Linked DNA regions of Caenorhabditis elegans. The protein of the gene in region 1 interacts with the protein of each later gene in a biochemical or structural test. Each region holds a gene or a part of one and is shown on either strand. Other genes may lie near its edges.

Region 1 (3,756 bases):
TTAGCAGGAAATTCAAATTTTCAGTAAAAAAAATTTTGGCGGGAAATTCAATCAGTGAAAAAAATTTTGGCAGGAAATTCAAATTTTCAGTAAAAAAAATTTTGGCGGGAAATTCAAATTTTCAGTGAAAAAAATTTTTGGCGGGAAATTCAAATTTTCAGTGAAAAAATTTTTGGCGGGAAATTCAAATTTTCAGTGAAAAAATTTTTGGCGGGAAATTCAAATTTTCAGTGAAAAAATTTTTGGCGGGAAATTCAAATTTTCAGTGAAAAAAATTTTAGCGGGAAATTCAAATTTTCAGTGAAAAAATTTTTGGCGGGAAATTCAAATTTTCTGAGAAACTTTTTGTTAGCTTAAGTACCACCTGGAACTGGCGAGACCCATCGTGGTGGGACCTTTAAAAATATGGGCGGGAGCTTCAAAATTTATGAGAAAAGAAATTTTGGCGGGAATTCAAATTTCCAAGAAAAATTTTGGCGGGAAATTCAAATTTTCTGAGAAAAAGATTTTGACGGGAAATTCAAATTTTCTGAGGAAAACATTTGGCGGGAAATTCAAATTTTGGTTCTGGAATCAATTTTTTGTTTCAGCACCTTCTGGAAGTTTCAAGAAAATTCTAGAATGTTCTAGAATCATCTGGAAAATTCAAAAAAGTTCTGAAATGCTCTACAACCTCCTATAACTGTAGGAGTTTTTATTTGTTTCGTCACATCTATATTCAAAGAACTTACTATTAGTAGTTAATTATTCAGACTTCTCCAGTTAAGGAAAGTTATTAACTTATTGAAAAACTGTAACTCTGTGGAATTTTTTCGGGGGAGGGGGACAGCTCGCCACGCCAACAGTGAGAAAAATAGTGTGGTGCGCGGACCTCGAATGATGTCGGCGGCTGATATTACCTGGGGTACCGCTTTTTGCCTTTTCCCCGTGAGTGAACGAGAAAAAGGCGGGGACTATTTTGGCGTACACGCAACGCAGTTTTATAATTTTGAGTGTAGAAAAATCAGAACATTCTAACTGTCTCTTTGAATTTTCTGAATCGAATACCATGGAAGAAGAAAATGCGATTTAATCGATGAAGTTTCAACTTTTTTAATGATACATTTTTGAATGATTAAAAGGACATCTATGTATTATACATTTTAAACTCCGCCAGTCGTTGGCCGCGCCGGAGGCGCGGTCATCGACTGGTTTTAATAAATAAAATTTTTAAAAAATTTGGAAAACAGAAAATTTGCCAAAAACCGGGAGTTTGTAACTACAGTAATCCTTAAAGGCGCTCGGTCGTGTCGAGACCGGCTACAGTATGTTTCAAGCTCTAATTTTTTGATAACTATTTTTTTTCGAAATTTCCAATCATCAAGTGCTCACCTTTGCAAAATTTCCCTTTCCAATAGTCTTCAATAGCTTATACTTTCCAACGTGTACATCCTGATCGTTGCGTCGTGCTGCCGATCGACTTGACATACCCGATTGTCCAGTAGATCGTGCATGTGATGAAGAGCTGGAAAAATTTTTATTGAAAACTGGTGGACTGGGGCTTTATTTTAATTTTAAATGTGAACTAAAATTAACTTTTTTCGGTTATGTGTGACATGATCTCCATCAGGTGACACTTTCACCGTTCGCCGTTTCCCAGATGAAGTTAGTGTGGGAGCCATCGGAGCTGTAGTGACCACTTCAGACACTTTTCGCTTCGGGATCAGAGATTCCTCCTCTTCCGGAATAGGCGTCACAGATGAACTACTTGGCTGGCACATAAATCTAGCGAGTAACGACGAGTATGCCGCATTGAACATATCGAATTAGGTCAAACGGACGCGTAAGAGCCCTGGGGCTCCCCGAAATGGAGCAAAGCGTGGAGGACGGACACACTGGAAAAAACGAGGAGAGCGCCGGCAGTAGAAGAGGAGCAAGCGAGCAAGAAGAAGAAGATGGGCGGCCTTTCTCCATACACATCCATCCATCCATCCATCCACACTTTGGAGAAGAGACACAAATTGCATCCATGTCTCTCTCTATCTGTCTGTATTCCTCTTGAAAAAAGTGTGAGCAAAAGGAGAAAAAAACTAAGAGGGAATATGTGTCCCCTTCTCTTTCTATTGCTCCCATCACATCGGAATTTCTCCAAAAAACCCTCCCCGCCGACCGATAAATGCCCCCACAAAGTGCTGCTCCAAGTGCTACATAAAATCGTGTCCCCCCCCCCCCCGCCATGCCTCTTCGTTTTTTCTAATTTCCCTTCGCGGACCCCCGTTTTTTTGTGGCTTTGATGGACGGGGCTCGTTGAATTTCTGTGTTTAAATTTTCATTCGATGCTGACTGCTTGCGGGGCCATCCAACGTCATCTCGTTGTGCTTGCAATTCTTCATTTTGAGTGAAGACGTCAGCACAGAGGGGAAGAAATGACGACTTTTACAGCCGATTTAATGAAAAAAAAAAACTCGAAAAATAGCGCTTCGGAAACTTTTTTTTTTCATTTGAGACGCGTTGTTCCAATAGAAAAGGAAGTTCCAGCCCCTCAGTTAGAAAAAATTGTTTTTCAAAAAGAAAACCGTTAAACTGCCTTTTTTGGATATAAAATCAAAGGTCAACCGAATCTAGAAACGTACTAATTATATTCGGCCACTTTGCCCCATTTAGTGGCTACGTTCATCATATTGCCCGTACCTCGTAGAACACAAAAAAAGTAAGGCGAACTCAGGCGCCGGACATAAAATGTAAAATCTGATGTTCAACAAGAACAACGATGGTCTTCTTCTATACTACAAGCTGCTATGATGAATCATGGAAAATTTCTTGCAGCACGACCAACGAAAAATTGAGGGGGCGATGAGTCATATTCAAGAAGAGAAGCAGCCGGAAAAAATATTTTGAAACAAGATAGAAACCTGGTCAATTCATATTCCGGAAAAAAGGTCCGAGGCTGTTGAGATGGATAATATGCAGAATGCCGTGAAGATGTGGAAGGTGGTGAATATGAATATGGATGATCGTCACAGCACAAATCATCGAGATCCAGTGCAAATGCGTACGATTTCTTCGTCATCTTAACAGTTCTTGAATCTTGAATCGCGAACAATAATTGAATAAAATAGTGTCGCACGTGAATGTGTAAGGTGATCCAGCAGCTTCTGAGCAGGTGTGTCAACCAGTCTGCACTGTCAGTCAGTTCAGTACAAAAATGAGTCAGTTCTTCAATTCTCTCAGTCGAGGCGCTTGTCGTTTTCTCACAACGTCTGCGTGTCCACCTCTCCTATTACTGACTCTCTTTCCGATAAGTCAATAATAAAAATTGAATAGATTGGGGGTGGAGGAGGTAGAACCGAATAGAATAGGACAACACACCAGGTGCACCGAGACGACGAAGATGGAGTTGAAAAAAAGAAGTTCGCGTCTCACTTTTCTTCTTTATAATCGTACTAACCGAGAAACTCATCACAAACTCTCGGATTGACGTGGCACTATTAAATAGGTTGAGAACTAAGAGGGTGGAGGAAACATGAAAATGTACACCAAAGAGCATCATTACAAAAGCAATGAATAGGGTTGTGCCAGTTTTTGGTTGTTAGTCAATTAGATTCCAGCTTACAGGAGCTCCAATAGCTTATCGATTGAAATGGTTCAAAGTCTATGAATCACATCCGGCGGGCCGTCAAAAATTGACTCCGTCATGTCTGTGAAGTAGTGATAAAGTTTCTGTTTTTGTGTGCCTATTGACTCATTTTTGACAGAAATTTGAAACATGGGATAGGT
Region 2 (3,756 bases), on another chromosome or scaffold:
CATCAACTCCAGCCAATTTACTGTCACCATTTGAGACAAACTTGTACTTGGATAGGCTGTCTTCTAGGAGATAATGTTCTGAAAATAAACGAGTTACGGTATTGTAGAAACATTTAATCTCACCTCTCTGTACTTTTGAGAGTCCTTTCAGCAACTGGTAGAAAATGTGGAACGATCGCTCATTGGGAGCTTGTTTCAGCACGCGAGATTTCTCCAGAAGATAAAATTCAATATTCGCTCCAGAAATGCACCCTGTGCTGTCGAAATGAACGCGAATGAACTTTCCCTAAAAAATTTAACGATGCGTGCATTTAAAAAGTTATGATCACTCACAAATCTACTGGAATTATCGTTCTTCACTGTCTTACTGTTTCCGAAAGCCTCGAGTATGGGATTTGCTTGCAAAAGCTGTTCCTCAAGCTGGCCCATGATCCGGTTTGTAGATGTGTCCAGATCAACGGAAGTCTTCCGATTCTTCACCATCGACCGATTTGCCACATAAGCCAAATACTGAATCACTTTCTTTGTATTTTCAGTCTTTCCAGCTCCCGATTCTCCACTGAAAAAAACAACACATTTCAGGATAATATAAACTCGTATATTAACTAACGTGCAGAGAATTGACTGATCATCTCGTTCTTGAAGCATGCTGCGGTAGGCTTCATCGGCAACAGCAAATATGTGTGGTGGCATCTCCTTTCTCTTTTTGCATTTGAACTGTTCAGCAATTGTATCCGTGTAGATTGGAATTCGTTTGTATGGATTTATTACAACGCAGAACAAGCCAGAGTATGTCTGAAAATAATTCGATTGATATTTATATAAATGTATAAGTTTTTGCCTTAAATAAATATTTGAAATGTTGCAAAGGTCATCAGGATCTCTTGATTATTAAAAACCAACGACCGGTTGAGACGTTCTGCATATTTTATATCTCACCTGATAAAAAGATTATCAAACTACAGAAATAACTGTATTCCTTCTTAGAGATAAAGGTCACAGCAAGGTTCAATATAGGAAAATCTCCGGGAATGGCAGAAGCCGGTCCATTTACAAAATTTCTACTTTGAAACTTATTCTATAATTTGAGCTGGTTCCTCTGAGTTAGGGGGTTAAATCGCCACAAAGAATTGCTACGAAAGAAACCGCATCTTAGGCTTATGTAAACGCCAAAAGACGACAACCAGCTTGACGAGAATATTTATATTCAATGAAGAATTGTTAGCTATCGACAAACTTACGTAGTAGAGATTCGAGAAATATCGTTGCTTTAGATTATGAAGAACCGACGCTTCATTCAGACACGTCAGCATTGACATATCCTCGCATTTGTCATATTTCGGAGGATTTGGCTTCTGGCAATCATCAGACGAAACACGCTGCCGTTCGCCAGTCTCCATAAGCTCAATGTCGATAGTTCCGTCTGCATGTGGTTCCCCGATGACAGCTCCAAGTGCGAATCCATCCTTCTCACTGGGTACCCACATCAACTTTTTTTTCGCCCAATCTGCCGAAATCGATGGATTGAGGAAGTCTGTCTTGGCCTGAAAATTAGAAATAAAGCTATAACTATAAAAATATTTGAAGAAACATACTCTCAATTGGTCAATCTCATCATCTTTTTGTCGAGATGATGTCATTATTACCGCTGGAGCTGTTGTTGTAATCAATTAGCTGAAAAGTTAAATGGAATAAAAGGCGGGTAATCTGCTTGTCCCATCTGACCTGACCTCTGGTAACTGTGGCAAAACGCGTTTTTGATACACGACGTCCCGAAAATATTTTCAACATAAAATTTTTTAGACGTCAAATTTTCAAATCCACTTGTTGCTACGGCTACAGAGTTCTACAAATTTAGGGACACGCTGTTTGATAAAATAAGTATGTGGTAAGAAGAAAAACAATAAGGTCATGGCATTCACGCGAAGAAAAATGAGTCGTGGAAGCTAGTTCTCAAAAACGGGTTTGATAATATGCATAGGCTCAGGTGTCAGCATTATCCCTCAAAAAAGGAAAGAGAAAAGTATTTCAGGAAAGGCATTCCATAAGACTATTCAAAAACGTTACGCAATTAAATTCGTAATTCGATTATGAACACGAATTCGCAGTGCGATTCACCAAGGTTGACTATTGGAAACAGTAAAATGAAACGAAAAAAGTGAGCACAAAGATTGAGAATAGGGTTCACACACCATCGAAATTTCGATTTCCGCCCACATCAATTATCAGCGTCAACAGATAAAGCAACATACCTCTTGTTTTTGCCCAGCCTACGCTTTTATTGATTATTTTTAAAACTAGTTTAAAGAAAGGGTCAATTTCTCAGAGGCCACGATGGCACGCGACTTATAATTCAAAAGTGAAATAAAACAATCTTTTTCTCAAAAATCTGTTAGTGAGAAGCCTTTCGTATATCAAATACTTCCCACAAAAGGACGATAATGGAAGCGCAGCTGTGCCGATTTTCCAGCTGTCTTCCCTCTACCGCTGACCCTCTTTTTTAACTGGCGTTCTCCATTCCGCCATTGCATTGATAATACGATGGGAAGCGCTAGTTCCGTGGGAACCATCCACTTTTGGTAATGTACGAACCGTTCGGTGAATTTCGCAATATTTTGGTGTGAGGTAAAGGAAGATGCGCCGAGGGAAACAAGGGTCAAAACGAAATGCAAACGAATACCCATTCAGGCCAAGCGTGCGCGCCGAGAATGAAGAATAAACGGACGGGATAGGACACGAATTGGCTCTCTCAACTTGTCACAAGTTACCGACATGAATGGTGATTCAGAAAACAGAACAGGAATCTTTTCGTGGTGACGCCGCGGCATTTGTATTGGGTTTGGCGCCAAAAATAGTAGAAATGGTGCGCGAGGATGATTTGAAACTGGCGCCCTCGGCTGTCGCGAGACCCGAAGAACTCGGGGGATGTTCAACTGGGGGGATTACCAACTCGGGGGATTGGCCCCGCCCACAGAACCGTGGCTTGCAATACGCCCATTTCTGCAAATGCCGCACGGTTTTAAAATCATTTTTTCTTGTTAATCCTCGCTCTATTGATAAAAATACAGTTTTAAAACCGTGCGGCAGTTGCAGAAATGGGCGTATTGCAAGCCACGGTTCTGTGGGCGGGGCCAATCCCCCGAGTTGGTAATCCCCCCAGTTGGACATCCCCCGAGTTCTTCGGGTCTCGCTGTCGCTGGACACAGTCTGCATTTTTACGTGAGGGTGCACCAAACATATTTGAATTGTACACCATTACGCCACCTTGCGGCCGTAAGAACTCGTGCTTTAATATTGAAGCCTCAATTAATTTTCCTGCATTCAACGAAAAAAATAACTCACTTTTTTTTCAAATTTCAGATATGGACGATAAAAAGGAAGAAACACCATCGATTGCTCCTGTTCTTTGTGGAGAAGAAGGTAGATTGAGTAAATAAAATGCTGAACATCGTTCGAAAAAAAGATTTGCTTTAAAGCCAGAACTGAGTCAATAATATAAATTTGATTTATTTTAATAAAAATAAATGAATAATTATTTAAACATTGCATTTTTTTCTTTCAGAGGAGGCAGTCACCCTTGGTGAAATCGTGGAAACCATCGATTATTTGGAAGACAAAGCCGATGTATTGTTCGCAACCCAAAATCCAAACGTTTGCACTTATGCAGAAGGCTACAAACCTCGTCAAACATTATTCACATGTCTCACATGCACACCTGCTCCAGAGATGGCTGGAGTTTGTTATGGATGCGCTTTA

The links. Proteins that work in one complex are often made in the same cells at the same time.
Region 2: the proteins of par-1 (region 1) and nmy-2 form a complex in vitro, tested with the Caenorhabditis elegans proteins (one study listed by BioGRID).

What each region holds. Positions count from the first base shown.
Region 1 is NC_003283.11:14,124,740-14,128,495, forward strand, and holds the start of par-1 (Serine/threonine-protein kinase par-1), read right to left. Parts: upstream 1,800-3,756; coding exon 1,576-1,799; exon of another isoform or gene 1,517-1,575; intron 1,505-1,516; coding exon 1,372-1,504; intron 1-1,371. UniProt on the Caenorhabditis elegans protein: Required for cytoplasmic partitioning and asymmetric cell division in early embryogenesis. Phosphorylates and restricts the asymmetry effector mex-5 (and possibly also mex-6) to the anterior cytoplasm of the zygote.
Region 2 is NC_003279.8:7,932,904-7,936,659, forward strand, and holds the start of nmy-2 (Myosin-11), read right to left. Parts: upstream 1,675-3,756; 5' UTR 1,641-1,674; coding exon 1,596-1,640; intron 1,545-1,595; coding exon 1,242-1,544; intron 796-1,241; coding exon 611-795; intron 560-610; coding exon 334-559; intron 287-333; coding exon 124-286; intron 79-123; coding exon 1-78. Other genes in the region: T22C1.1 (UBR-type domain-containing protein), read left to right, coding at 3,363-3,420, 3,563-3,756.